Linked DNA regions of Drosophila melanogaster. The protein of the gene in region 1 purifies or fractionates together with the protein of each later gene. This does not show direct contact. Each region holds a gene or a part of one and is shown in the gene's direction. Other genes may lie near its edges.

The links.
Region 2: the proteins of smo (region 1) and krz purify together in Drosophila melanogaster (affinity purification with western blotting, with the first as the bait; 4 studies listed by BioGRID). This does not show direct contact.
Region 3: the proteins of smo (region 1) and Smurf purify together in Drosophila melanogaster (affinity purification with western blotting; 2 studies listed by BioGRID). This does not show direct contact.
Region 4: the proteins of smo (region 1) and Usp8 purify together in Drosophila melanogaster (affinity purification with western blotting, with the first as the bait; 4 studies listed by BioGRID). This does not show direct contact.

The regions. Positions count from the first base shown.
Region 1 is NT_033779.5:275,005-283,651, forward strand, and holds smo (smoothened), read left to right. Parts: upstream 1-2,577; 5' UTR 2,578-2,821; coding exon 2,822-2,859; exon of another isoform or gene 2,860-2,925; coding exon 2,926-3,319; intron 3,320-3,638; coding exon 3,639-4,120; intron 4,121-4,180; coding exon 4,181-4,801; intron 4,802-4,865; coding exon 4,866-5,036; intron 5,037-5,105; coding exon 5,106-6,510; 3' UTR 6,511-7,163; downstream 7,164-8,647. Other genes in the region: CG17078 (uncharacterized protein), read right to left, coding at 1-247, 315-1,493, 1,735-1,899, 1,955-2,138; CG11601 (uncharacterized protein), read right to left, coding at 7,168-7,501, 7,650-8,143. UniProt on the Drosophila melanogaster protein: Segment polarity protein required for correct patterning of every segment. G protein-coupled receptor which associates with the patched protein (ptc) to transduce the hedgehog (hh) signal through the activation of an inhibitory G-protein.
Region 2 is NT_033777.3:32,045,045-32,054,663, reverse strand, and holds krz (kurtz), read left to right. Parts: upstream 1-2,670; 5' UTR 2,671-2,824; coding exon 2,825-3,395; intron 3,396-4,794; coding exon 4,795-5,636; 3' UTR 5,637-9,350; downstream 9,351-9,619. Other genes in the region: mod (modulo), read right to left, coding at 1-240, 307-1,041, 1,109-1,418, 1,687-1,929.
Region 3 is NT_033778.4:17,590,309-17,596,826, forward strand, and holds the start of Smurf (SMAD specific E3 ubiquitin protein ligase), read left to right. Parts: upstream 1-2,482; 5' UTR 2,483-3,004; intron 3,005-3,159; 5' UTR 3,160-3,541; coding exon 3,542-3,596; intron 3,597-3,657; coding exon 3,658-3,696; intron 3,697-4,958; exon of another isoform or gene 4,959-4,975; coding exon of another isoform or gene 4,976-6,518. Other genes in the region: RhoGAP54D (Rho GTPase activating protein at 54D), read right to left, coding at 1-46; icln, read left to right, coding at 725-843, 930-1,458; CG30105 (uncharacterized protein), read right to left, coding at 1,578-1,655, 1,720-2,109; ND-51L1 (NADH dehydrogenase (ubiquinone) 51 kDa subunit-like 1), read left to right, coding at 4,976-6,518. UniProt on the Drosophila melanogaster protein: E3 ubiquitin-protein ligase which accepts ubiquitin from an E2 ubiquitin-conjugating enzyme in the form of a thioester and then directly transfers the ubiquitin to targeted substrates.
Region 4 is NT_033777.3:21,132,586-21,138,714, forward strand, and holds Usp8 (ubiquitin specific protease 8), read left to right. Parts: upstream 1-1,676; 5' UTR 1,677-1,825; coding exon 1,826-1,920; intron 1,921-1,983; coding exon 1,984-2,472; intron 2,473-2,531; coding exon 2,532-2,694; intron 2,695-2,749; coding exon 2,750-3,232; intron 3,233-3,287; coding exon 3,288-3,731; intron 3,732-3,896; exon of another isoform or gene 3,897-3,974; coding exon of another isoform or gene 3,975-4,061; intron 4,062-4,129; coding exon 4,130-4,360; intron 4,361-4,423; coding exon 4,424-4,878; intron 4,879-4,934; coding exon 4,935-5,265; 3' UTR 5,266-5,629; downstream 5,630-6,129. Other genes in the region: Trm7-34 (tRNA methyltransferase 7-34), read right to left, coding at 168-359, 415-1,064, 1,120-1,240.

The DNA.
Region 1 (8,647 bases):
ACAGACTTTTTGGCCGATCGCACTTGTTCCGGCGAGTGCTGCAGAAAGTAAACGACGATAAATTCGAGTGTTTGATTGGCTTCCTTAGGGTACATCATGTTAAAGGTATAGTAGTAGCAGATTAACTGGGCCAGAATGTCCGGCAGGTCTTCGTCTTTGGCGGCGAATGTGGCCATTATCTGGCCTTCAATGTAGACCTTCGCCTCCATTTGCGATTCCACGCCGTCGGCCGTTGTTATGGGTGAATCTGTGGGAAGATAAATATTTTAAAAGTATTTAAACACTTTTAGTGATATTAATTTTTGTGTACTTACTGACTAGAGCCACCCAGGGGGCGTTTGTGGGATTCGTGCTTTGCAGTGATTCCTTGCTAAGGGAACTGTTCTCGAGGTGCTTGAAAATGTAGTCGGGATCCTCATTAAAATAGTACGCTATGCCACGCAGGAAATTAGCGTTGGTCTCGTCCAAAGAGCTGATCTTCTTGTTCTTTGAACTCTTAAAGAACCTGAAAAAGCGATCCTTTTCGGTAGCCAAGCGCTTCTCTAGAGCCCGGGGATCGATGGACATAAGCAGCTCAAAGTGCTGGTACAGCACAGCCTTGTCAAAAATATATGGCCAATTGTCCTTAATGGCCGTTATATCTGGGATCTTTTCGCTGTTATTAAAAAAGGAGCGCTGCAACGGAAAGCACTCTTTCATATATTCGATTATGACGGACTGTTCCAGTGGGGAACTGCCTCGGTAGCTGGAGATTAGTAACTCCTTTTTGTGCTCCAGATCCCTGTTAAGAGCCAGCGATTTTGCATCACCATTGGAAGCACCACCTCCGAATTTTCGTTTTTTATTAGGGATGTGGATCTCAAAGGTTCCCGAGCTGCCGCGTTTCTGGGGTTTGTTTAGGGCATTGTTACGGTTGATCATCTTGGATATGAGCGATTGCGGAGTGGTGGCTATAAACTGTCCCTCGCGGTCTTTTTCGAGTAAGGAGTCGGGGTACTTTTCAGCCGCCTGTTGGGCGACCTGCCGGAAAATCCGTATGGGAATGTGGGCGGATATTTCACGGAGAGCCTCCACCAAAACATTCGCAAGTGTATTCAACCGCTTGCCCAAACTCCCCTTTCCCTTTAGTAGTTTCATTATGTCCCCAGGCACCTTGCTCCAGGGTATCGAGAACTCCTTGAATAGAGCAGAACTCTTTGCACTTGATGGCGTTACGCTGGACAGTGACATGGTTTCGTCATTAGAGACCGTCGAATCGTTCGGGTTCGACACAATACTGTTGTTGGCATAGAAGCTGGGATCCACCGAGCTGCCGGCGCGTTCGGATCGGTTGAGGGGCGATGGCGGAGGAAGCACCACATACTCCTCCGACTCGGCGAGGAGCATCAACAGAATCTTCTCCTTGGCAGCGAACAAGAGCACGTCGTCCTCGCAGATCTCGCAGCCGTTGCTCTCCAGGACAATTGTGTTGCCGCACAGGCCGTATTTGTGAGCTACCGAATACAAATATATTATTGATATAAATTAAATAAAATATGTACAATTATTTAATTTCTATCCTAGATAAATATATCACCCATTGATCAAATTTATATTTTTAAATGCAGAAATGCTCTAAGCTTAAACCCAATAGATTCTTATTAAAGACTGTCTACTGGTTAATAACTTCCAACTGGGCAACGTTCATTCGGAATACTGGATGAATAGATACCCAATTCGTCGGACGTTCCTTACCTTTGTCGATTACATCCTTTCGAGTGGGCAACGACATGAAGGTCTTCTTGATCTTGCGATCGGCGCTGCATATGGTAATCAATACTTTGTCAGCCAGCTCGGTCTTCGGCTTGCCCTCGTCGTCGTCCTTCTGGCTAGCATCAGTGGAATGTGTCGGCTCTACGGCTAAAAGGTAAACGTTAACCAGGAAACTAGACTAGCTTCGAGCAAGTTTGCTAACCGGGGGCTTTCTCACCGCAGCTCTCTGGCTTTTTCGCTCCTCCTGTTTGTACACCATTTTCGATTGTTGTTGCCTTTGCGAGTGCGACCGGCGCTTGGTTTGCATTTTGATTCGGACTGATCGGCGCCTGCTGGGTGCTATGATCGCCGCCGGAACTGGCGGGCGGTGCGGGGGCAACGTCCATGGCTTCTATTTGCGTTTGCGCGACTCCAACCAAGCCCTGTTATCCGTGTTTTTGGACCGTGCCGTGAAATAATATTGCAGAATAGGGATGTAAAAACTACATCGATGCTTGGTGCGCTACTATCGCGGTGTTATCGATACTCCGCACCCAGTGTGACCGTCGAGCGCATGGCATAAATAAATAAGCCAGCGGCCAGCATTGCCATATAGTCAAAATGTTGCGGGGAACACCTTTTTCGTTTGCTGATGCATTTCTACATATGATCATATTTCTTATTTTATGTTGATGTTATCTTATGTTACGATCGAACAAAATAAATCCGATTTGTTTGCATATCATTCGACTTGTTGCAGCTATGACCGATAATAACCGATGCCGACCGATAACATGCAAATCTCGCTGACCGATAACATGGGTATATTTAAACTGGCCCTGAATGGTCGCACATTTGTTGCTTCAGCTTCACGTTGAGTCGCGTTTATTTTTGTTTTCCTCCTTGGTTCTTGTTTTTTTTTTCTCTTTTTTAAAAACACTGCAATCCTTCAAAGGGAACAATTAAACCAGGATATCCCGAGTCCAACGAAAGCGCCTTCACGATGCACTGACGAACCGCTGAGCAAGAAACGGGCATTCAGCCCATTAAAATTCACACAAGGCAGCTATTTAATGATTTTTATAAGCGGATGCAGTACTTAAACTTTCCGCGCATGCCAAACATTATGTGAGTGACTCGCCTCTGGCAAATGGTGTGGGCAATTAAAATAACTTGGTTATTTACAAACCGCAGGATGTTCCTGGAGGTTGCGATCTTATGCCTGTGGGTGGTCGCAGACGCATCGGCCAGTTCGGCCAAGTTCGGCAGCACAACGCCCGCAAGTGCGCAGCAGTCGGATGTGGAACTGGAGCCCATCAATGGGACTCTCAATTACCGACTGTACGCCAAGAAGGGCAGGGACGACAAACCCTGGTTTGATGGCCTAGACAGCAGGCACATCCAGTGTGTCCGACGTGCCCGTTGCTACCCCACCTCGAACGCAACCAACACCTGTTTCGGCTCAAAATTGCCCTATGAGCTGAGCAGCCTAGATCTCACCGACTTCCACACCGAAAAGGAGCTGAACGATAAGCTGAACGACTACTATGCCCTGAAGCACGTGCCCAAATGTTGGGCAGCTATACAGGTGAGGAATCTTAATAACATCTAATGTACCTAATGATTTCAAAAGGTGGGGCCGAGTCTGTATGAAAATACAGATTGTCGCATTATTTTCTGATAAGGAGGTGCATTAGAAACAAGTTAAGCGCACAACTGTGATTACTTAATTACGCTTTGTGTTCAAGCAGTGAAAGTAATATGTGAATTGCTTTATCTTGGGAAGATTCAGATATATATACATATTCAGTTGTGGCTCAAGGTTTTCTGTAGATATTATAGTATTTCAAATCCATTTCTTCAATATTCCGGATTAGCTCAACACACCCATTTTTACATGTTTATAGCCCTTTTTGTGCGCCGTCTTTAAGCCGAAGTGTGAAAAAATCAACGGCGAGGACATGGTCTACCTGCCATCTTACGAGATGTGCCGAATTACCATGGAACCCTGTCGCATTTTGTACAACACGACGTTTTTCCCAAAATTCCTTCGCTGCAACGAAACACTCTTTCCGACGAAATGCACAAACGGAGCACGAGGAATGAAATTCAACGGAACTGGCCAGTGTTTAAGTCCTTTGGTTCCGACAGATACGTCAGCCAGCTATTATCCTGGCATCGAGGGCTGCGGCGTGCGATGCAAGGATCCACTCTATACCGATGATGAGCATCGGCAGATCCACAAACTGATCGGATGGGCTGGCAGCATATGTCTTCTGTCTAACCTTTTCGTGGTGTCCACCTTCTTCATCGACTGGAAGAATGCCAACAAGTATCCGGCAGTAATTGTGTTCTACATAAATCTTTGCTTTCTAATTGCTTGCGTCGGGTAAGTTTTGAGCACTATTTTGCATTTGTATTCTTAATCAACCACGTATTTACTATGCAGCTGGTTGCTTCAGTTTACTTCTGGCTCGCGAGAGGACATAGTATGTCGTAAGGATGGAACACTTCGCCACTCAGAGCCTACAGCCGGTGAAAATCTTTCTTGCATAGTGATCTTTGTGCTGGTCTATTATTTTCTCACCGCTGGAATGGTTTGGTTTGTGTTCCTCACCTACGCCTGGCATTGGAGGGCCATGGGCCACGTCCAAGATCGGATAGATAAGAAAGGTTCCTACTTTCACCTCGTGGCGTGGTCACTACCCCTTGTGCTTACCATTACCACGATGGCTTTCAGTGAGGTGGATGGAAATAGTATTGTGGGCATCTGCTTCGTAGGCTATATCAATCATTCTATGAGGGCAGGACTACTTCTTGGTCCGCTCTGCGGGGTCATCCTCATTGGTGGATACTTCATCACCCGCGGCATGGTGATGCTTTTTGGACTGAAACACTTCGCTAATGACATTAAATCAACTTCGGCGAGCAACAAAATCCATTTGATCATCATGCGCATGGGAGTCTGTGCTCTGCTCACTTTAGTTTTCATACTAGTGGCCATTGCGTGCCACGTTACGGAGTTTAGGCATGCAGACGAATGGGCCCAGAGCTTCAGACAGTTTATAATGTAAGTGTAAATACTCGTTTATAACTTTTTCCATACGCCTCAACTAGATAATTCTTTTGTTTAGCTGCAAAATTTCTTCAGTTTTTGAAGAAAAGAGTTCCTGTCGAATTGAAAACCGACCTAGTGTTGGCGTTCTTCAATTGCATTTGCTGTGTCTATTTAGCTCTGGAATCGTAATGTCCACCTGGTGCTGGACACCTTCTTCAATTGAGACTTGGAAGCGTTATATAAGGAAGTATGTTTTACCATCCTACCAAAAGTTGCATTAAAGTTATCTGTACTATCGATTTTATAACCTTTGCAGAAAGTGTGGCAAAGAGGTGGTCGAAGAAGTGAAAATGCCGAAGCACAAGGTCATTGCCCAGACATGGGCCAAGCGCAAGGATTTCGAGGACAAGGGCAGGCTCTCCATAACGCTCTACAACACCCACACAGATCCCGTGGGGCTCAACTTCGATGTGAACGATCTGAACTCTTCTGAGACGAATGACATCTCATCAACTTGGGCTGCATACCTCCCGCAGTGCGTAAAACGTCGCATGGCTTTGACGGGAGCAGCGACAGGTAACTCGTCAAGCCATGGACCGCGAAAAAATTCATTGGATTCCGAGATAAGTGTGAGTGTTCGACATGTTTCCGTTGAATCCCGCAGAAATTCGGTGGACTCGCAGGTATCAGTGAAAATAGCTGAAATGAAGACCAAAGTGGCGTCCAGATCAAGGGGAAAACACGGAGGCTCTTCCAGCAACAGAAGAACCCAAAGGAGAAGGGATTATATAGCAGCTGCCACTGGAAAAAGCAGTAGGAGAAGGGAAAGCAGTACTTCAGTGGAGTCGCAGGTCATCGCGCTCAAGAAAACGACCTATCCCAATGCTAGTCACAAAGTGGGCGTGTTTGCTCATCACAGCTCCAAGAAACAACACAATTACACCAGCTCCATGAAGCGAAGGACTGCTAATGCCGGATTGGATCCCTCTATTCTTAATGAATTCCTGCAGAAAAATGGCGATTTTATATTCCCATTCCTCCAAAATCAAGATATGAGCTCTAGTTCGGAGGAGGATAATTCCAGAGCATCCCAAAAGATTCAGGATCTTAACGTGGTTGTAAAGCAGCAGGAAATAAGTGAGGATGATCACGACGGAATAAAGATTGAAGAACTGCCAAATAGCAAACAGGTGGCATTGGAGAACTTTCTTAAAAACATAAAAAAATCTAATGAATCCAATTCTAACCGACATTCCCGAAATTCCGCAAGAAGTCAGTCAAAAAAGTCCCAAAAGAGACATCTCAAGAACCCTGCTGCTGATCTAGATTTCAGGAAGGACTGTGTAAAGTATCGGTCTAATGACTCACTTAGCTGCTCCTCTGAAGAGCTGGATGTGGCTTTGGACGTAGGAAGCCTTCTTAACAGCTCTTTTTCTGGAATATCCATGGGCAAACCACATAGTAGAAACAGCAAAACCAGCTGCGATGTGGGCATACAGGCTAATCCTTTCGAGCTAGTTCCCAGTTACGGAGAAGACGAACTGCAGCAGGCCATGCGACTCCTAAACGCAGCCAGCAGACAAAGAACTGAAGCAGCCAATGAGGATTTCGGAGGAACGGAGCTGCAGGGCTTGTTGGGTCATTCCCATCGGCATCAAAGGGAGCCCACGTTTATGAGCGAGTCGGACAAACTCAAAATGTTATTGCTGCCTTCAAAATAGCAAGACTAAATAAGCAATTGATGCATTTACTTAAGGTTCAAAAACTCTTACAATATTGTAGTTTTTGTTCTAAGAAATCAAATTGTTAGCGCTGAAAATAATCGTACAATCTTATCTATTTTACGAAATCGTAATATTGTTATGTTCACTGTTCAACGATTTATAAGAATATATCGCTTCACTAGAATTGGAAACCCAAATGATATTTAAAACAAACAAATACGAAATTGTAGTACACAAGCCAGAGCAGTTTACATGCGATGAACATTTAGATTCTTCTTAATCGATTACTGGAACAGACTGAGCGAAACTAGAACTACGAATTACGAATACTCATAGTCATTAGGCTGCAACTTTATTTTACAGATTCATCACCCCATCTAGCTTGTAAGCATTCGAATCTCTGTGTACGTTTGTGAATGACTGTTTCCTTAATCCTGGTACTCACGCCAAAGTAAATGCCAAAGAGGATAATAATTTATTTTCATTATTTTTCTTTGCCGTGGGTACAGGACTTTAGATTGTAGATTATAGATTTAAGTACGATATAAATAAGCCTCTTGGGCACACAAATCGTACCTCAGAAAGTGCCTTCAAGTTTACAAAATTATACATAATAATTTGTGTAACTAATAAACGATTTTAAATCCTCGAGTCCTAGCCTTGCTTTAATTTCTGTTGATTTAGGAGCTTAAACTCCGGACCCCAAACGACGTTGTTGGCGAACTCCCCGAGCAGATAGCAAACCAGGTTGAACCCCACAAGTAGTGCCAAGAACACGTAGCGCAGGTATGCGGGCAGCACTTCCAGAATGGGATACACCCACTCGCCACTGAAGTAGCGAACAATGTGCAGCCAGATGATGTAAAGCAGGATGAAGGAGACGTTGCCCGTGATGCCTGCCAATCGACTCGGATAGCGGCGGAAGCAGGTAAACAGGTCCATAATGGCCAAAAGGGCCACATTCGTGTGTACCACGTGATTCAACCAGCTGCAAATATTGAGAAACACAGGTAAATCAAAACTCGCCTCGCCTGATGAACAGAAAGTTTAGACAGGCTCGAAACAAAAGAGACTCCAGCAGACTAACATTGTGCATTGTACGCAAGTTAAACCGGCGGAAAAACATAAACACTTGCCTGGGGAAAATCGCATCCAGCGCTGAGGGAAAGATGAGCTCACGGTCCCACACGTAGATGACCCAAAACGAGAGGCAGACATTGTGGGCGACAGGAAAGGCAAAGGCGGCGAACACATAGTCCCTCACCGATCGCAACATGGATTTTGAATCCCCGGAGACATTGTTATCGCCGAAGAGATCGTTCAGCAGAGCCAATGAGTGGTAGATGGCCTGTAGAATGACGTCCAAGAAGGTAAGGTACTTGAACTTGCCGCCCCACCGCGCCTTCAGTTCATCCTCGTCTAGCAAATCCGTGGGCCAATGCACCCGGAAGTAGTGAAAGTATATCCCATACGAAAACTGCGCTGCCGCCAGGAGATGGACCAGGAATCTCAGGTATTTGAAGGCACCGCTCGTATAGGCATCGTTGCAAGTGTTCAACTGGGCTTTAGTGGCCTCGACAGCTTCCTTGGCGGCGTTGAACTCGCGCACCTGCTTCTTGCTCTTGCCCATTTCCTCCAGAAAAGGTGCAAAGGGCACCGCACGCTGAGCAAAACAAAACAAATAAAGCTAGCCAACAGCTGATTAGGGCGCAACACACGTCGAGTTTCATTCCAGCAAGGAGGCGTTTTTAAGCTAGAACTAGCTTTTTAAAGCCAAATCGATATGATAGCGCCACTTGACGTTTCTCTGATCTTGAAAAGCAGTTTATTCCAAGCTTCCCACCTTAAAACAGTTTTCGCAGCTGATGAAGAGTTTAATCGCTTTATTATGGTACTAGAATTGAATAACAGTGGTATTCAAAGATGGCGTTGAATCAGTGTGCTTGATATGAGAAGTTTAATCGAGAAGGCATTTTTGTATTTTGGTTAGTCTAGTAAACTTATCGAAAGACGCGCGCGCTCAATGGAAACTACGGCTATAATTTCAGTTACAATGTATGCGTAATAAAAATATAATGAATATCATTAGCAAACGGGTTTCCATATTATGATTAAAGACTCCGAATTCAATATT
Region 2 (9,619 bases), on another chromosome or scaffold:
ACTTCCGCGGGGCGCGGGTCTGACCAATAGCTAAGCGTTTCTTTAACAATCTATGCTTCAGCAGAGAGTTTGGCTCAATAAATATAGGGGCGTTGTTTACAATGCTTTCATTAGCCAAGAAAGATTTGCAGAAACCCTCATCGTCCTTGAACTTTACTACCGCTTTTTGGCCCAACATTATGATGCTTTCGATTTCGCCGCTATCGTTAAACACTTTCCGCAGGTCGGCTTCAGTAGCATCTACAACGAAATTTTACATGATAATGATTAATAATTTTAAACAATTTTACGAAACGGGTAACCCACCTGAAGTCAAGTTCGTCACAAGAATGGCCCTCCCCGAGGTGCTGCGTTCGAATCGGTGAAGCTTCCACTCAAACTTATTAACAGTCTTTCCGTCGAGTTGTGCTAAAGCCTTCGTGGCGGCATCCGACTGCTTGAACGTGACAAAAGCTAAAACTGCCTTGCTGCACACAACGTCGATTTCTTCAACATCACCAAATTTTTTGAATATCTTTTCTAGAGCGTCGGAGCTGTAAGACTCGTGTTTGCCCACATTTTCGACAACCAAGGTAAGTTCACTGGTACGTGAAATCGATTCTTGTGAGATCCGACGAACCGTTATAAAGCGAGAAAACAGCTCAGTGCTATGCAGTTTAAGAGCCTTCGGTATGTCATCGACCGACGCCAAACGTACAAAAGCTCTGGGCATGAGGCGGTTACTGGATATAGTCACCGCCTCCACGGGAGCTACCTTCTCAAAAAAGGTTTTTAAGTCGTCCTTGGTAATATTAGGTCCAATCAGGCCAACCACCACCGTGCGTTCGTTGTTCTCTTCCTTATTTCTCGGTTGGGACACAGACAAAACATTGTCTCCAAGGGTTAACGCTTTAGGCTTAGCCTGCAGAACAGCTTCTGCTCCAGTTGACGTATCAAAGGCAATGAGAACTGATTTATTGCCATTCAAATTAGTGAAACGCTGCAAAGCGGAAAGTCGTCCGAACTTGGCGAACAATGCGACCAAGTCCTTGTGGAGATACTCTATGTGGAACAAATATACTAAGTTTAAATATACTTGAAAAATGAAATAATAAACCAGTTACTTTACCGTTTGGTAGGTTTGTGACAAAAACGATCTGGTTTTTTGGCGTTCCCAGCGGAATCTTGCCAACCTTTACTTTTGGAATTCCTCTATTTTCTTCGGACTTTTCAGAGTTGGCTTTTTCTGATTTCTTGGAAACTGGCTTCTCTACAGGCGCTTCTTCATCATCATCGGATTCATCTACCTCATCCGCGCCTTCACTTTTGGAAACCTCACCAGGCTCCAACTCATCGTCATCATCATCTTCCTCATCGTCACTATTGTACTCTTCATCTTCCTCAGCCTCGTCGTCAATTAAGCCCGCTGCCTCTTCGGTCTGAAAAGTAGACAATTTTCTTATAACCGCTGATGGGAGAGCACCAATAAAGACAATTTTTTTTTTATCGATATATGAACCGAGTCGGTATAAAACCAGAGGATCGTGGGTTATGTGCACTCGTCTTATAATTATAAAATCTTTACAACCACGTGGCAAAGAAAACGTAAAATGGATTCTTATCCATGCAGATCTATATATACGTGCATACTATGCATGTAATGTTAGCCATATCCATTCAGAAGACCACGTTTTTTTTATAGCTTACCTCAAAGTCGCTGTCGTCCCCTGGCTGCTCGTCATTTTGCTCCTCCACATCAGACTCGTCCTCTTCACTGAACTGCGGCACTTCTTTAACAGGCTGTTTTCTGGATTTTTTGGAAGGCGATTGGGGGACTACTGTCTCCTCTTCCTGTACCTTTGTGGACTTGGTTACCCGTTTGGCCAAAGGCTTTTCCTCTCCATTCGTAGCTTTTTTTCCTTTGACGGTGACGGCTTTCTTTTGGGCCATTTTGACAGCTTTTAGAGGTTTTCTGGGCAAAATTAGCAAAGTCAAGTTTGGACTGAACAACGCGTGGTTTCGTTCAATAAAATGCACGTGGAAAAGAGGGACAGAACAGTGTGACCGTTGTGCTCTATCGGTGCTAAGGCTGATTAAATAAAGTATTTTAGAGACTTCAATCTCATTTTTATAGCTCTATTCCACTACTAAATATGGTTTAAAGTCCGTTCATGCACATGTATACATATAAAAATAATAAAAGCCTTTAAAAAATAAAATAAATATTAAACAGTTTATATAAAGTATTTATTTAAGACTTAGGATACAATCTATGATTAGATATTTACCAACGGTCTGATTTTACATGTGTTTATACATTCCAAATGGTAAGTTTCCTCAATCATCAGCTATGAATCATCTGTTTCTAAAGGAATTTATAATATATATATTATATTTCATTAAAAAGCCAAGTCAACCTGCAGTTGCATTTTATCTTAGTAGGAAACTTAATGTTAATTCAAGCAATTGTTAATGGTATTGAAAGAAAAATTATTAAAAGTCACTTACTATGGGCCAGGGCACACTTAGGAAATATAAATAGGTGCCAAAAATGCAAAATAAATATTAATTATAGGCTGCGATTATGGTACGACCAAACATATATCGGTTTGTTCGCACTGAATTGAAATACCAGAGAAGTACATAATTTGTTAGTATGTAATATTCCCTGGTATTTTTCCAATGACTGTCAAGCAGTGCTGGTAAATGGCGGAACAAGTATACACATAAAAAATTAAATTGCAGCACAAGTCCCGCAACGCACACATATATTTATTTAACGGAGTTCCAATTAAGCAGGAACAGCAGAAAAGCAGAATAACAAGCATAACCGCCAAATAACATAATGAACGGTGGTGGTGGAGGAAGTGGAGGAGCAAATGTGAGCAATGGCTCCAGCACCAATGTAACAGCTGCCGGGAGCACTGGGGGCGGAAGCGCAGGCGACGAGACTGGTGGAGATGCCAGCTCCAGACGCCAGGCGACTCGGGTGTTTAAGAAGAGCTCCTCCAACGGCAAGATAACAGTTTACCTTGGCAAACGGGACTTCGTCGACCATGTCACGCACGTGGATCCCATTGACGGTGTTGTCTTCATTGATCCAGAGTACGTAAAGGACCGTAAGGTTTTTGGCCAGGTGCTTGCCGCCTTTCGGTACGGACGTGAAGACCTAGATGTTTTGGGATTAACGTTCCGTAAGGACCTGTATCTGGCGCATGAGCAGATCTATCCGCCCATGCAGCTGGACCGCCCGATGACCCGGCTTCAGGAAAGGTTAATTAAAAAGCTGGGGCCGAACGCCCATCCGTTTTATTTTGAGGTTCCGCCCTATTGCCCAGCCTCTGTGTCCTTGCAGCCGGCTCCTGGAGATGTGGGCAAGTCTTGCGGAGTAGACTACGAGCTGAAGGCCTTTGTGGGTGAGTCTTTGTGGGTCTGATCTTGTGGGTGTGTCCGTATACGGTGGTCAGTCAAAGTCAAAATCATTGATATTTCGCAGTGTGGCACATACCGTGTTTATTATATATGTTGCAATACATTAAATTTACAAATTTACAAATTTTTCTTTTTTCTTTACAAATTTTTCTTTTACCTTAGAGCAGTTAAATTGCGGGTACTATTGTTTCTGAGAATAAAATAATTTATTAAGAATATGGTTACAGTAGCAAAACTAGCTTTGTTCTTTTCTATAGAAGTTAGACTGTAAATTTCTTATATGTGTGGTTTTGTGTAAGTTAGCGCGTGCATCACGCGGTTGGGAACACAGGGTTAATCAATCCAACTACGTCGGGCTGATGACGCAGCGTTCACCTAATTGAAATTCGACACTTCTAATTGGAATTTGAATCAACCGAAGTTGCAGCGCAGTTAATGCTGTTGTTCGCCTTAACCAGGCGCCGCAGTTGGCGGTCTGACGATTTGTGTGCCAACAGCAAAGATCTTACATAGTTTCAAAATGTTTATTTGTTTAGTTTCTAATCTGTATTTAATAATTAAAAAAAGGTTTAAAGAATTTGTGCTTTATTTTATTAGTAGAAAGGTTTTTGGTTTCTGTAAATTTTAAATTTTTCATATTTTCGTACGATCGCCGAGCTCCACTCGCATATATATTATGTGCCCGTGGCACCCCCTTAATACATTCTCTGTTCAATAAATATTATTACCTATTGCCCTATTTTGTTTACACATTTTTGTGCTTTTATAGTTTCTGTTGGAATTTTATTATTATTCAGCAGCCAAATTGTTTACTGTTATAAACAGAGATTAATAAAATAGCAGCAATTGGCGTGTTGTTGGGTAAAAGAGTTTATAACAAGAACTTAATATTTATTTTTTCTGTATATAAGCCCAAATTCAATTTAAGAATAAAAACAACAATGTTGGAATTTGTACAGTTGGAAGAAACGATTTCTCAGTGCTTCTCTGCTTCCCCTCATGACAATTGAGTCAGCATTTTTATTTACTTTGCGTCTGTTCAATTGTGTATCTAATGTTCCTAGCTTTTATGTTTTTGGGATAACCAATTATATATATTTATGCGTATTTTTAAAGCAATGCTATTGATGATCAATTAAATGAATGTATATGCATATATATGAATAATATATATATATATATATATATATATATATATCCATATGTAAATGCCAGTAATTGTCGGCTTGTGATTAAACATCGTGGAATTCTATACATGATAGACTCAACATCAACGACAAATTTTGTAACGAATCGGACTACTGACACACCCGAGCGTCATGGGTTTTCTTCAACAAACATACATACATTGATGCCATTATTCATAATGTTTATCACTAATAGGTGAGAACGTGGAGGACAAACCCCACAAGCGGAACTCGGTGCGACTAACTATTCGCAAAGTCATGTACGCACCATCCAAAGTCGGTGAGCAGCCATCGATCGAAGTAAGCAAGGAGTTTATGATGAAGCCAAACAAGATCCATTTGGAAGCTACTTTGGACAAGGAGTTATACCACCACGGCGAAAAAATATCGGTCAACGTTCATGTGGCCAACAACTCAAATCGGACGGTAAAAAAGATTAAGGTATGTGTCCGGCAGTTTGCGGATATTTGTCTCTTTTCGACGGCGCAATATAAATCTGTAGTGGCAGAAATCGAGTCAGAAGACGGATGTCAAGTGGCTCCGGGATTTACACTCTCGAAGGTATTTGAGTTGTGCCCCCTATTGGCAAATAATAAGGATAAATGGGGCCTTGCTTTGGACGGGCAGCTAAAGCATGAGGACACCAATTTGGCGTCTAGCACTCTCATTACCAATCCTGCTCAGCGTGAGAGTCTCGGTATTATGGTCCACTATAAGGTGAAGGTGAAGTTGCTGATTAGCTCGCCACTTCTAAATGGTGACCTCGTAGCTGAGCTGCCATTCACACTAATGCACCCTAAGCCCGAGGAGGAAGAGCATCCACTGTTAGGGGAGCGATCGCCACGGGCTAGTTTAGCAGGCGGGGGTCTGCCGTTAGTGAGCATGAGTGACGGAGAAACTGAATCGGCTACTGGCGGGCAGGATGTGCCAACGACAACAAATCTCATTCAGCTGGACGACGACGAGGCACAAGATGACGACATAATTTTTGAGGACTTTGCCCGTCTGCGTCTAAAAGGCGCTGAAACAGAGGCCTAGATGAAAAAGGAATAGATCGAACTATTAATTCATATGAAGAAAATACTACTATTATTTTCGGCATTTGTATAATATAAAAAGTATGAGAAAATTGGGCAACCTCTAAATGTAAAGTTTTATACCAATAGCCATGGTAAACAGTTGGATTTAAGCTATTTTATATGTGTAGGCCATATATTGTAGTATCTATAGGGTTTAAGCTGAAAGTGTACGAATTTTAAAATGTGAAATTGATAAACCAGTCAACACACCAGATCTACACAAAATGCCCACGCATAAGTTAACTACACGAGCGAAGTATTTCGGCCACACCTGTAAAAGTTGAAAGAATTCACAAAATTTGATATGTAAATGTTGTATAATATTTTTTATTAAATGCCCTCTCCCATTATAAAAACGCATAAAACAAAAATTCATTTACAAATTCTAATGATCTTTTTATTATGCCTCTTCTTTTTGGGACATTGTTATTGCTTTGCAATGCATTGATAATTTGTTCGCAACTAATTTAAAATAAGTTTTTTGAGTAGAGTACGTTACTAAAAATGTTTCTAGATTTCTTTTCTGCAATTAAAAAGAAATGTTTTAGGATGGCTTGAGGTTTGGATGTTGTTTTATAAATATTCTTCCAATATTTCAAAAATAATTTGTTTTCAAAATTTATTACTAAAAAATAATAATATTAGAAATATCCATACCCATACCTTGAAACAATGATTTGTTATTTGTCATTAAAGTCGTGCATGCAAAAAAACTATTCTTGAAAAAGCTTTAAAATAGTTTTTAAATTTAATTTTAGCACAAATTTAATTTAATTTAAGACGGCATTCTTGATTCATTACAAACTTTGTAACCCTAGAAGCGAGTCCGACCCTATAAGGTACATTTATTATTTGTTAGGATACCCAACCAAGTCGATCTGACCATTTCCGTCTGTCTGTATAAACGCTGTCATGGCCATTTGTTACAGAAGATTGCCATGACTACTCACACGTAGACAGTTTTTTAAAAGGTTTGAAATTTCTTTATAGCTCTATCACTAGTTTGGGAACGAGAAAATGATACTCTGGTATATCAACTATACCGTTCTCTCTTGTAATTGAAAGTGTAATGGCGAAATGTGGTCTTAGACCCAGTTAAGCCACTTTTAATTTTCTCCACAAAAAATTAAAACAAATAATTTAAACGACAACAAAGCAATTAACTAATGGTGGATTTGGATTAAAAACTCCAGCTCTTTGCTGATAAAACCGCTTTGGCTAAAGCTTACATGAAGTGGACCTTCACAGGCGGAAATAGCTAACATAGACAATTTTCAAACACCTTTGGGAAATACCTTTCGTGTGGGAAATTTTTACGTTGAACACCAATTTCTTTCTTACTTTAATTAACAATGTCCGAATCGAAATTCGCCAACGAAAAATACTACACGAGTAATGCATTCGTAAAACTTATTTAGAGATACAAATTAAAAACGTGATCAGAACATTTCCAAATGTAAACCAAACAAGAGATGACGAAATATGATTTCTTTTATAAAGCACTTTAAAAATACGAATGATTGAAATTGGGGCTTTTAAATTGCGAACTTGAGCTGAAATTAAATTTTATTGCTTTAGGAAATGCTAATACTGTCAAAATTTAAAACATTTTAATAATTTTATTTTTTTATAGGACGTGTAAATGTGAAATTAGTATTAGCTTGATGTATAGGTTCGTACTTTTATTTTTAAAGTGAACAATATTGGAGAAATTATGAATAATAATAAATTAATATTAAGCGCATCACAAACTTGTTAAATGTATACAAATATAATACAACAAATTCAAAAATGTTGGAGCAATTAATATTAAAAGGCATAAATTGAAATGAGAACAGCAGAGGTGTGTGAGTATTATAAATTTATAAAGAAAAAATTAGGGCATAACTTCAAGTGTGAAGCATTTAAAAAGCAAATAATATATGTAAGCTTGTGCCCCAAACCGAATGAGCACTTGAAGAGTTGTAATGATCTTTTCTGCAGTTGAACCACCTGAACAAATACATTTTAGAACGAGCACAACAACTTTTTAACACAAATCGTTGATTTTTTAAAAGAGTCGTCTTGCTTTAGTCATAGTAGAATTATTATCAAATGATTTACCAAACTATTTAAGAATTAAAAATAACAATTTACAGTTAGTTTCCAATAAAGATAATAAATCAAAGCAGATATTGCAGAAATCGCAGAAACTATCGGTCTAGCGATATTATCGTGTTCAACGGGTCCAACTGCAATATGAGCAACATCACTTTTGTACTGTGAGTTACATGTTCTTATTTGTTAAAATGGTGTGATTTTTAAGAAGCTAAGATAACTTTTAAGATAAGTTGTAATGGTTTTGATAATACCTTTTAAAAAATAGCATATATATGTATATGTGTTGCAATTTAAGTGGATGAAACCTTTCATAGCCTGCACAATAAATAGAATATATATATATATATATGGGTAGCGGGTTAAGGTGATAAAACCTTTTAAAGCTGGCGCAAGAAATATTAAAAATATGTCACTTTTATTTTCTAAAAAACGTTTTGGTCTGGATATGCGTTGTATTCAATTTGATAAATATTTGGTTTATTGTGTGTATACAACTAGGCGACTAAATATTTGCCACCGTAGCCAACGCATCAAGCGAGCGAACCAAACAGAATATGAAATACAATACCTACCTACTCATGACTAATGTATAAAAAATATAAACGAAAGTGAAAGATTGAATGTTGTATGTTTAGTGTTGAAAAAAGGATGCAAAGAAATATGGAGAAAGAACATTTTTGACTGACACGTTGGAGCTCCATAAGAGAGGAAAAAAGAGTGGACTTTTGGAAAAGACTATGTTTGAAAAGCTTTAATATTGTATAATTAACAATGCATTGTATATACCACAATAATACATGGTAGCCGAAATCCTTATAAAAACTTTAATTTTTATTTTAGAAAATAATATCAATATAAATTCTCATGCCATGATAATCCCTACCCTCCAACGTGTCCATCAAATAATTAACATTTTACATACGAGCCTTATGCGAACGAAACCATAAATAACTAATGCATTTGCATTGAAATTGCCAACGTATTTTAAAATTCCAAATATCATTACTATACCCGTTACTCGTAAAGTCAATGGTCCTACCAGATTTGTTTGACCCTTAAGTCCTGTCTGTCTGTTAAAAGTTAACTTTAGGAGCTACAGATTTGGGGCTTACATGTGGATTCTAGTAACGCCTAAGCAAATTTTAACCGTTATCCGTGCCGACTCTTAAGCCTAAAATTCCTACCAGGTTTTTTATGATTTAATAGTTTTATAAATATTTTCGGCTTAATTGCCTTAACCTTATTTAAAAAGTTATAGGGCCATACCATTTACGGTTTAAGTTGTCCATGACTTCAGTGTCTAGTATACAATTACACTATACACTATAAGGTATGTAAAAGAAAGTACAGTAACGGGTATCTGATAGTTGATGATTTAGCGATTCTTTTTAATTTTTATATATTTGTCAGTATTGTTGCACCTCTTAGGTAGTAATTAATGATTGCATTTTTAATGCACGCATTGGAACGAGATAATTGCAAGTTTTCTGAAAAAGAGTAAATAATATTTCTGTATAATGTTAATGTGAATTATTGAATAAATTTGCAATAATAAAATCGACAAAAATTTCATAAATGGCAGTATAAATTATTTCTAGAACATTACACATTTTATGGAAATAAGGGGGTTATAATTTCATGAGTTGATTGGCTAGCGATTTTGAAAGTAACACATTTTGAGAGAATTCGGTGAGGTTTCAGGGATACTGTCTCTGACCTCGCAGTTATTCATTTCCGATACGGCTTAAGAGCTGTAATTCCTTTGCAACTCCTTTCTATCAAAGTAAACACAAGTGGCAGCACTAAAAAAAATTAAGCTAATTGTTTATATTTAAAAAAACA
Region 3 (6,518 bases), on another chromosome or scaffold:
TGAAGTCATTTAGGTTCGCATGGTCCGTATCCATCGTTGCTTCCATGCAATCTGTGTGGTTTATCCGTCGGGACTATCGAGTAAACACTGTATATATCCACGAACAACGACAACAACAACAATAATAACGACTGCCAACGGATAAGGAAAATAACAACAACTTGGAAGGACAATGACAAGTTCGTTTCGTTAACCCGAAGGCTACTTCTTTCACTTCTGTCCGTAATGGGTTCGTTTTGAGGAGTGTATTATTGTCGAAGGTTTGATGCGCGAGCATATAACTTCGCATTTATCACATTTATCGCAAATTTTAACAGCTAAAATTGAAAATTGAACGAGACGCTACCTAACCAGTGTGACCGCGGCTAGAGCGCCAAATTAAGACCTCTTTGGGAGAAAATCGTACGCGCTGATCTGGTAGCACAATTACGTACTACGTTTTTATCTTTTTTTGACAAAATTGTTCCATTCTTTATATATCTATTTCTAAATTCAACAGTGGTAAGAAAGAAGTTGTCCTCCGAGAACACCTGTTCTGATGATTCTACATTCAAAGAAGGAAAATACATCAGAGCGTTGCCAGAGTCCAGCTGTCTCTCCTAGTTATTGCCACCCTTGCCAGACTTTCAAAAGGGGGACGAAAAAATGGTACTCAACACTGCATTTTTGCAAGTTTTGTTGTTTGATCGCGCTTTTTACAATTAATTTAACAAGCTGTATTAAAATGGTTCTTATTATGCGTGTTTCCCCGCCGGAACATGGTCTGTTGTATACGGCAAACAATATCAAGCTGAAACTAGGCGACAAAGTGGTGGGCGAAGGCACAGTTTACATTGCCCAAAAGTGAGCGCTTTAGAGCTTTGCCGGTGTCTGGTATTGCTCTCTATTTATTAAAATCTTTTAAAGTAACTGTTATTTCTTGTTCCTAGCACGCTATCCTGGCAGCCAACTGAATTGGCGGAGGGTATATCCATTGAGTGGAAGCAGGTTAGCCTGCACGGTATCTCTTCGAATCCGAGAAAGTGCATCTACTTCATGCTGGACCACAAAGTCGAGTGGAACGGCGTCTACGGAGATCCTCCCCAGCAGGCAGTCAATGGTCGGAATGGCGGTGGTTCGGAAGCGGAAGTGGACGAGGGAAATGGCAGCGATGAGCACGATGAGGACGACAATTTCGAGGATGCCGTAGACGAGCAATTTGGAGAGGTCACAGAGTGCTGGCTTATGCCGGAGGACATTCACACCGTAGACACTATGTACAGTGCCATGACGACTTGCCAGGCCCTACATCCTGATTCGGCAAACAGTGATTCGGAAGACAGCGATCCTATGCAGGATGCCGGTGGCTTAGAGGATGAGGCTATGGAGGAGGATGATGCATTGACGCTTGGGCGCAACGGCGTGCAGAATCTCAGTTTGGACGACGACGAAGAGCGATTCGAGGACGCTGATGAGTGAAGCATAACCTATTTAAACATCAATACCACGTTTTATACCAGATAAAATGTACGATATATATGTATTGGATTAGATTTTGGAGTAATAAATAGAACGCGGTAAGCGCGATTAAAACAAAACTACGTGCTTTCCTTGACGTTTTCCTTATTACGAGCGATTTCTTTCTCTAAATCCTCTTCGCTAATGGGCTGCGAGAGCTAAATAAATAAAATGTGGTATTTATTAGGTGTACTTCGAGAATATATAGTGGTATATACATACAGCTTGAGCAACATCCGGCAGAGGAAGGGCCTGTCGGTAGGGATCGCCATTGGACGGCACTTTGTCGTAGTTCCAGTAAGTAAAATCTTGAAATACTCCAGTTAGCCGCAACTTTCGGTCGGAGGTATCGCTGATGGGCTTCTCTGTTTCTTGCAGAACTAATCCGCAGTATCCTTCGGGCACTTTCAACTTCTCTCCCATTAAAGGAAATCCGCGCAAGGCGTTCGTCAGGATTCCTGTGCCGAATTCGGTTGCTTCACGTGTGTAGTTGTTGAAGTAATTTTTTACATTCGCTTCCCCATCGCCGTCTATTTTGGCCGGCAAGTAGTGCACGTCTAAATTCTTACCCTTGGCAAAGTTCTTACCATTAAAATCTAGAGTAATTGACATTGTTACTTTTTGCGCAAAATAAAAGGTAAACAAAAACTCCGCCAAAATGTGTTTGTTTGTTTGCGCTTAAGAAGGATGGTTTGAGTAGCAGCTAAACTCATCGATTTACAACCGATAGCCAATAGTAGTTTAATTCGATAGTAACAATATAACAAAAACATACAATTATATTGTAAATCAAAGCTTGTAGATGGTAACGAGATCACTGTTTACCATCACTGAACAAGTTTTCATGCTGTTTTAAATTTAGTATCTGACTACATACGTATTATATATATATATTTGACAATATGCGATGTTTTCCAAGAATATTAGCACTAAAAAATCGATAGTATAAGAGAGTAATCGATTTTTCACTCAGCACTAGACTTTGTGCCACCACTAATAAAAATGGCGTTCGAAGTTGTAGTTAAATTTTTATGGGAATCCGTAAAACAATAGCGCGTGAGGCCGCGGCAGCATAATTCGCGCACTATCAAGCGTTCCGTGGACGAGCAACTGTGTGGGCGTGCGTTGTTCGCAGAGTTTTCGTCCGATTTTTAGTGAACTAGAACAATACAAGTGTGCCTCCTTTGATTATTATTGCAAATTTTAGTACCACACACACTCGCGCACACATCGATAGCGAAGGAAATACTAGTGCGAGTAAATAGTGTGGCACCCATACTGGAGCAGCGACTAAATTAAAGTTAATTAAACACACAGTGGTATTTCATTTAATGCAATTTGTGAAATAATAGAGTGGCAGAGGGAGAGAGACAGATCGAACCCCGCTCCCGCTCTCCCCTGCAGCATGCGTGAACTGCGTCCGTGTGTGTGTGCGTGAGAGAGTGAGCGAGACATGTGCGTGTGAGGTGCAGCAGCAACAACAACAACACCAGCAAAACAATTTCGGGTGAGTTTTTCGTGAATATTTTGCCTACCTGAACGATTTCCTACCTACGCCCTCGCTTTTGGGTTGGGTTTTTGCACTTGGGGGGAAAATACACACATTATCTCTAACGAACTTACTAATAATACCCATTTCCATTTGTTATCTTTGGATTGCAGCCTATAAAAAAAGCAAATCGGTGTTATTATTTATATACAAATATATCTATGTGCGTGTGCCATGACACACAGCAACAAACGCAAAAACTACAACAATTGCAACCGTCAAGGCTACCGCCACAGCAGCAGCAGCAACAATAACAACTGCAGTTACCTTCGGCAATGAAATTACCTCTCACCGCCCTCACCTGCTCCTCCTACACCTCCTTTGCTTCCTCTCCTCCACCTTCTACTTGCACTTCTTCTTCTTCGCTCTCCGTTCGGCGCTTTAACGACAACAACAACTACAACAACATGCCCGCGACATATAAATAATCAATACACAAAGTAAATCCATTTATTTTTATACAAATCAAACAATATCAATTAAAAGTCGAAAATTATGAATAAATTGGATTACCCACGTCGCAATGGTACACACAAAGTTCGAATAACGAGTAAGTCTGCTGATAAAAACAATTGTTAATAAAACCCACTAATATATCGCTTTACTTGCAGTATTGTGTGCTAGAAACTTGGCCCGCAAGGATTTATTTCGTAAGTATTTTAATATTAATTGGATATATCTTAGCATCTAATTTCCTTAGTGCCTATCACCTATCCGTCAAATAGGACGGTCTAAATTAGTTCCTAAAGCAGAACTTCCGGTCATCAAAAGCATAAAAGTTTTACCCTGTACTTCTTAATCGTTAGTGTTATAAAATATTAAATGTAACAGCAAAAAATTCCTTAAAACTATTTACCCAGCATGCCTTTGGCGTAATCACTTATTTTCGTAATTTGCTCACATGTTTGGGCTAATTTCTTGACTCACTTTTGGTTAGTTACGGGAAATTTGGAGCAGTTGGCATTCGCCAGACCCAGCAAGCTTTGTTTTCACGTTTGGTTTTCTTTTCGAAAACCATCAATTACGCACCTGTTTAGCCGTCCAATCGAAACACACATTGTGGTAAATTAAAGTTTTGTTTTATTTGCGGCGCTTGTGGTGCTGCTGTTTCCTCTTCTTCACATTCATCTATGCATATAAGGTATCGCTAAATTTAGCACTTCCTTTCTTGTCTACTTTCATTTTTATACAAATTGCGGAAAAGCCCCCTCCCCCCATCGCGCCCATCAAGTCGAGTGGGTGAGTGCGAGTGGTGCGCCATATCTGAGCTCTTTTCCCATATTTTGTTAGATATAACAAAAGTGATTATTACTAATTTGCTTTCATTGCGGCTCACTCACTCGCTCGTCCACAAATACAATCGCAATATTTTTTCTTTCTGTGTATTTGTGATTTACTATTCGCTTTTTCCACTTCTTGTCCATTTTTGTACACTTGGTTGCACTTAAATCACGCGCCACGCATTGTTCAATGTGCTACTAAAAAAAAAAAAAAAACATTCGATGTTCCTTATCCGTGAGATTCCAATAGGGGGATATTTGGGTTTCCGAAAATGGGTCTGTGGCCGCTGGTGTCACTTCAAATGAATTGTTTATTAATGCTAATGCTTGAATTCCGTGGTTGACTACAGAATATGGCGCATTCATTTGCTATTTTCCCTCTACTACCATATACATTGTACACTAGTAGTTGGTTCTTCATATTTTATCGATTCTTTGTGATAAGATTTTAGTTGAACCCAGCGGGGCTTACGGTCATTATAGGGAAAATCCATAATGGGACTTTCCGATATTCGTTATTGTGAGTAATGTAAACTTTTTTAACATATCAAGTTCGAAAAATGTGGAAGTAGTATGCTTTGAATTTTCCTTTGATTCAACACACTTGCCAAAGAGTTCAGTTAATCAGATAAAGAATATAGACGAAAGCATGATATCGTTTCTGTTAAAACGCCGAGCTTGTGATGCTTACAAGATTTCATTAGGACTAACTCGTGCATATAGAGCCTTAACAGAAGTAAAAAGCCTTCAAAATGCCTTACGACCTGGTAATAAAACTGGAAATATCAAGCTGGTAAACATATACCGAACTTCTAGCATACAAAATGTGAAGAAGAACCAACTAAGTGACGCTGAAAGCGTTATTCCACTCTTATTGCGGCCAGCCAAACCTGTGCTGATTATGAGAGAAGGATCTCAAACCGATTGTAACGACGATTTGCTGTCCTCTGAGCAAAGAGCCAAAAAAAGGGAAAGCATAAAAAAATCCGAAGTAGATTGCCCAAAATTTCCAGCTGAGAAACTTCCGCCCACAACGAAATTTCCTATTAATGAAAATGCCAAGAAGGTTTTAGATCCAGCCGACCAAAGAGAACTCGAGGCCAATTTGTTAAAAAGGCTTAAAGATATGGCTAAAAGAAAGAAATCTCGACTAGATGAGAAAGTTGACGAGCTGAGGGATAATTTTATAGGCTGGAATTATGCTGCTCTACAAGGAAGAACTATTGTGACTGTGGATGCCAAGGAATCAACTCCACCGAAAGGATCTGGGCCGGCCACCCCGGCAGGCTCTCCTCCACCTAAAAATGTTTCTGCACCGCCGACGGGCGGTTCTCCGCCTGCCAAAAGCGGCGCTCCACCACCCCCAAAGGGGCCACCGCCCGGAACTCCACCACCGCAGACGAAAACTACTTTTGGACCACTTGCTGATGCTGATCGAATCTTTACCAATTTATACGGACGGCACGATTGGCGATTGAAGGCAGCAATGAAGCGCGGTGACTGGTACAAGACGAAGGAGATCATAGCCAAGGGTGACAAGTGGATAGTCAACGAGATTAAGACATCTGGACTGCGAGGACGCGGTGGCGCCGGATTTCCCAGTGGACTTAAGTGGTCATTTATGCATAAACCGCCTGATGGAAGACCCAAGTTTCTGGTGGTCAATGCGGATGAAGGAGAGCCCGGTACTTGCAAGGATCGTGAGATAATGCGCCATGATCCACACAAACTGGTAGAGGGATGTCTCATTGCTGGACGGGCTATGGGTGCCAACACTGGTTTTATTTACATTCGCGGAGAGTTTTACAACGAAGCTTGCAATCTTCAGTATGCCATTATTGAGGCCTATAAGGCTGGCTACCTGGGAAAGAATGCCTGCGGTTCTGGGTTCGATTTCGATCTTTATGTGCAACGTGGAGCAGGAGCCTATATTTGCGGTGAGGAAACCTCTCTGATTGAATCCCTGGAGGGCAAGGCGGGTAAGCCAAGGAACAAGCCTCCCTTTCCGGCTGATATCGGCGTCTTTGGCTGTCCGTCTACGGTGACCAATGTGGAAACGGTGGCCGTGTCTCCCACTATTTGCCGGCGTGGTGGCAATTGGTTTGCCAGCTTTGGACGTACCCGAAACTCTGGCACCAAGCTGTTTAATATCTCTGGTCATGTTTGCAACCCTTGTACCGTCGAGGAGGAGA
Region 4 (6,129 bases), on another chromosome or scaffold:
GTTAACCGCTCGGCGTAAGGATAAGAGTTAAGTTTATATTGTTATGTATCGGAATAATAAAAATTGAACGCGGTGCTTGTGGCGCGAGCAACAAAGTTTTGATACATTTTGAGATGCACCAGAATTTACACTCATATTCATAACTTTTCATTTTTTAAAGCTTTTATTTACGTTACACAGGCACCTAACTTCTCAGACTTATTCTCATCATTCTCTAGCCATTTCTTCAACATTTCCTCATCGTGAATAACGCGAATGCCTTCATATTTTATGTTCACTTGGCTCGTTTTCTGCAGAATGTCCTGATAGGCGGCCGTCAAGGGTTGCTGCACTGGCTCTTTATACACATAGTTCTCGCCCTAAAACAAAACATTTTAGTGGTTTAAACCAAACGAAGATATAGTATTAACATACCAAATCGTATGTGCGATCCGAGTCCAACTCGCCCTTGTAGGCAACAAAGGGAACTTGAACCACGGGCGGGCTCTCCTTCTTTCTGCCCACCCACGACTCGGGTTGATCGTGCCATTCGGTCGTCAGGTTGCAAGGCTTGTAGCCATCGGGCAGACAAAACTCTCGGGCCACCACGAAGGCTTCAATGCTGGAGTTGCGCGAGGCGGAGGGCTTGAACACGCATACGTTCTTAAAGAACCGCTTGAGCTGAGTGTACAACCGACTGGTCCTGTCTGCCCGGTAGATCTTGGACACGAAGGAGCCTCCCTCTTCCAGTATGAAGGTGGATATGCTGAGGGCGGAGAGAAGTAGTTCGCCCTGAACGTACGAGTCAAAGTCGTGCATTCCAGTAGAATCGGGAGCGCCATCGCTAACAACAATCTGTGCCTTCTCGCCGCCAAAGAACTCAATTATGGCCTCGGCTGTCGACTCCTTGCTGATGTCCGCCCGCAGTTGTTTGACTCCTTCGATCGGAGCCATTCCCTGCAGGTCTACGGCGATGATCTTTACCTTTTCCCGTTCCTCTGGCGGCAGAGGCTCGTACAAGCGTTTGGCCAGCACCTGTGACCAGCTGCCAGGAGCGGCGCAAAGGTCCACGGCTCGGGTGAGACCTGAAATAAGTGGACAATTAGAATCGCTCCGAAAAACACGCGGTTGGATCTGCACCTTCTAGCAACTGAAAGGTCTCATCCGCCTGGAGCAGTTTGAAAGCACTTCGTGCACGCCATCCCTGCTCCTTGGCCAGGCGGTAGAATATGTCTCGTTTATCCTTCGAAGTCCTGCCCATTTAAAAATAATAAAAACAAAAGGGTATCAGCTGTGATACGACATCTACAGTGCTGTCGTTTTAGCCGTTTTCCCTTCAACTTTGGGAGTTTATTGGTATTAAAAACATTAAAAAGTTTGCAAGTGTGAGCTCGAATTTATAGTTTTAAAATATATATCATTCATTTTGTGTTAAAATATAATTTTATATTTAAATGGTAGATTAGGAAAAAGAATCAATTTTGTTTCCAAATCCATAGAAATAGCTACAAAATGTAGTTTAGCTTTAATCTTCATAATATTGAGTTACATATTCATTATATTTGAATTTGTTTATTTGAAATAAAACACGTACAGCTAAAATACATATCTAGTTGGATTTTCAATATTAATAGCTAAATGGCTAAATTTGCACAATCTAAATTTGCACTTCTGACAGCGCCATCCTATTTCTTTGTTATCGATAAATTTCATGCAAAATAACAAATGATTGTGTTGTTGCAGCCCAGCCCGCAGATTGAGAAATTCCTGCTATGAGAACAGGAAAATCGGCGAGATCCCGATTCCCAAATTCAACGTAGCCCGCCCCGACAACAAAAAACGAATAATGGCCAAGTTGAAGAAACTGCATATGAGCTCCAACCTTGATGACCTGGAGAAGATGTCCATCATTCCGGATCTGCGCAGCAAGGGCATGAAAATGTAAGTGGACACCGCGATTTGGTGCTGATGCGGCTGTTTTGATTTACCTGGCATTCTTCGCAGCCTACTGAACACCGCCCGCAAACTGTACATGACCGCCGAGGAGTACAGACTGGATGGCGACGAGGAACTGGCCTACATCACCTACATGAAGTACTTCAATATGCTGACCGCAATTCACAAAAAATCCGATTACCCCAGCCACAAGACGACGGTGCGCCAGATGCTGGGCGACACCGAGTCGAATCGCCGCATTATGGACACGCTGGAGGAGATTATCAACTCTCTGCGGCATCGTTATGCTCAGCAGCACCAAGCGCCGGAACCAATTGCTCCCGACCTGGTTAGCAATGGGCGTGCGGGTGTGGACTCGCCGATAACACAGCCAACGCAGTACGCCCGACTTGGGCTGATAACCTGTCAGGATCTGTATCGGCGCATGCAGGAGAAATCGGTCCTAGTTATGGACTGTCGCCCAAGCGCCGACTACGAGGCCTCCCACCTCACGTACTACTGTGCATTTAATGTGCCCGAGGAGTTGATAACGCCAGGGTGAGTTGTCCATTATAATAATCTCGCTATTTGGATACTAACTTATTGGATTTACACAGAATGTCGGCTGGCAGATTGCAGGCTCGTCTTAGCAGCAGCGCCAAGGCGTCGTGGGCATCGCGTTCCGTCAAGGATTCGGTGGTTCTTATGGACTGGAACACCAAAGATGCCCAACCGGCGACCAACACAGCCATTTCAACCCTTCTGGACATCCTGAAGAACGTGAGTATGGGTGGTATTTAGCCATAGATTACATATAATCATTATTTTCTGGTAGTGGGATCCGGATGTGACGTATCGCGCACCCATTCAAATTGTCGAGGGCGGTTATGAGTACTTCATTATGATGTACCCGACCCATTGCACTAATCCCAGTGTGCAGGCGCCGCAGCAGAACAACAACGACATTGAGACCATCGATGATATCGAGTATCCCTCAATCCACGACATCACCATGAAGGAGGATATTAGTGCGAAGGACTTCAGACCGCGTCCAGACTTCAATCGGGCCAACAAGCCAGCGGCCACTCGCGTTAATGAACAGGGAATTTCCCGTCCTTCTCCGCCGGCTAAGCCCATTGCTGAGATCATGCGTGATCAGGCCGAGTTTTTGCAGCGCGCAGAGCAGAACGATGAGCAGTTGGAGAAGGCCTCAAAAATGTGGAAGCGTCAAGCAGCAGAGGGCGATGGTTTGAATGCTACCGAGGACCAGGAGTTGCACTTCAGGATCCTACAGTTGGAGAGCAAGGCCCAGGACTATGTAAGATCTATAAATTACCTTATAAGGTTCGATTAATTGTTCGTTTGTGTCGTAGATCGTGGAAAACAATCGTCTGCGAGAAGAACTAAGTCGCATACAAGAGCTACACAATGTTACGCAGCAGTTGTCGCAAAAGGAGGTCGAGGCAACGAGGAATATAGAATCCAAGATCCGCGAACGACAGCGCTTGGACGAGCAGCATGAACTTGAACGTCAAGAGCGGGAGCGCCTTTTGGCGATCGCTCGCGAGACAAAAAAGCATTACAAGTCACCAACACCTTCGGGCCCGCCTTCGCCGGGCAGGAACTTGGAGGACGTACATGTCGTGTCAGACAGCCTGGAATCCCTGCTCCAGTTGACTGGCGATCCGGATCCGACAATTGCGCCAAACAAGGCGGAAATACCAACATTCGATCGGGCGATGAAACCGCAGCCGAGGAATGTGGAGAGGACATCGCAACGCGTTCGTGATTTCTCGCCTGTCATTGGTCAGAATGTGGTAAGTATTGCTTGGGTAGTGGTGGTTGACTCACTGGCCACATAAATATAGCCGCGACACGAGTCAAATCAATAGCCAGCGGGTCACGTTTTGAAGACACCCGCCCAGACGTGCGCCGTTCTTGGTGCGCTTTCTACCCCCACTCTCAGTCGCTCGACGTCCGCACTCAAAGCATGTTCAAACCAAAGAAACGTACAATTGCCATACTGTTAAGCAGGAATAGCATTATACAGGATTCCGCGAATGATTTGTGTAGCGGGCGTGAGGCTCCAGCTGCCAACAGCTCCGCCCACCTACAGCATTTATAGCTCCATCTTTCCGCTGAGACGAGTAATAGCTATAGATTTTATTTTCCTCTATCTCCGAATAGTTAACTATATCCTTGGATAACATTTCAGGGTCGTGGACTGACTGGACTGAAGAATCTGGGCAACACCTGCTATATGAACAGCATACTGCAGTGCCTGAGCAACACGCCTCAGTTGACCGAGTACTGCATTTCGGACAAATACAAGAATTACATCAGCAGAAGCAACAAGACTAATGGCCAGGTGATCGAAGAGGTGGCTGCACTCATCAAGGAGCTCTGGAATGGACAGTACAAGTGTGTGGCCAGCCGAGATTTGAGGGTATGCAACTGAAAAAAAAAAAACACCCAAATTTCTTTCTAAACTAAACATACTTCATTGCAGTACGTTGTGGGCCAGTACCAGAAGATCTTCCGCGGCGTTGACCAGCAGGACTCACACGAATTCCTCACCATCCTGATGGACTGGCTGCACTCGGATCTCCAGACCCTACATGTGCCCCGTCAGCGGGAGATGATCAGTGCGTCGGAAAAGGCTTGGCTGGAATTTACCAAGGCGAAGGAGAGCATGATTCTGCATTTATTCTATGGCCAAATGAAGAGCACTGTGAAATGTGTGGCCTGCCACAAGGAGTCCGCCACGTACGAGAGTTTTTCTAATCTCAGCCTGGAGCTGCCGCCAAACTCGAATGTATGTCAGCTGAACCAGTGCATGGACATGTACTTCAGTGGAGAAAGGATCCATGGCTGGAATTGTCCTAGTTGTAAAACGAAAAGAGATGCCATCAAGAAGCTGGATATATCGAAGCTGCCACCTGTGCTGGTGGTGCATCTTAAGCGGTAAGTGATGCTAACACTATGCTATGCTTGTTTATAATTTCTTAAATCCCGCATAGCTTCTATGCGGATCCCAGTAACTCTGGCTCGTACATGAAGAAGCAGAACTACTTGCGCTTCCCGCTCGAGAACTTGGACATGAATCCCTACATAGCACGGGCGGAATCGCGGGCGGTAACACCTAAGACCTACCAGCTGTACGCCGTATCCAATCACTACGGCACCATGGAAGGCGGGCACTACACGGCATTTTGCAAGAGCGCCAACTACGGAAAATGGTTCAAGTTCGACGATCAGGTCGTCTCGGCGTTGGACTCCTCTAACGTGGTTTCTAGCGCTGCATACATTCTTTTCTACACCTGGCTGCCACCCATGCAGGTGCCTCTGTAGACGCTTCGCTCGGTTTCCTTTCGGTTTTTACCCCTTTCGTTTTAATTGTTTTTTGTTTTTCTCTCATATTATAGCTTTTAAGGTCTAGTCGCCACACCCTTTTATCATTTACAAATTACCGCTTAACTGTTAACTGCTATTTAAGAGGATAATCGCTTGTTTGTTGTTGTCTAGGCTCTTAGAACAGTATTACGCGTGGGCGTATTTTCAATGGGTGCAGGCTGCATTCACTAAAACCAAGAACTTCAAGTGCATTACCAGTGTAACAAAGAGAAGCCCGCATATACGCCTGTGTATGCGGGACTATAGTTTATTGTATTTTGCAAATATATTTTAAAACCAAATAAACGAAATTCAATTTCTGATACAAAGAATTTCTTTGAAAGAATCATGCGTAGGGTTTTTAGAAAACAAATTGGGGAGAGCGGGTATTTTACACTCAACAAATAATATAAAAAAGGGGGTGAAAGTTATTTTACCATTGCAAAGAAAAATTCAGCTAATTTTCGCGCCGAAAAGTTCAATTCGAGATATCCGATAAGTAAATATATTCACTTCCAACTAACGGTCACACTGTAAAACGCCCCCGCTCTTTAGCAAATGCAGTGTTGCCAACTCTTGCTTTCAATAAATAGCTAGTTAGTTGATTTATCAATTATTACATTTATAGTGTTTTATGTATGCCCTATTTTTCATTTATAAAGAGTTATGATTTAAACTTATTAAATAAGATGATGAAATTGATGATTCAAAAGAAGAACATAGCTATAACAGTGCACCTAAAAAATGGCCAAAAATACAGGTGCTTGCAATCACTTAATCTAATCTGGCTAGTAGCCAGCTAAAGCGGCAGCACCGACCACG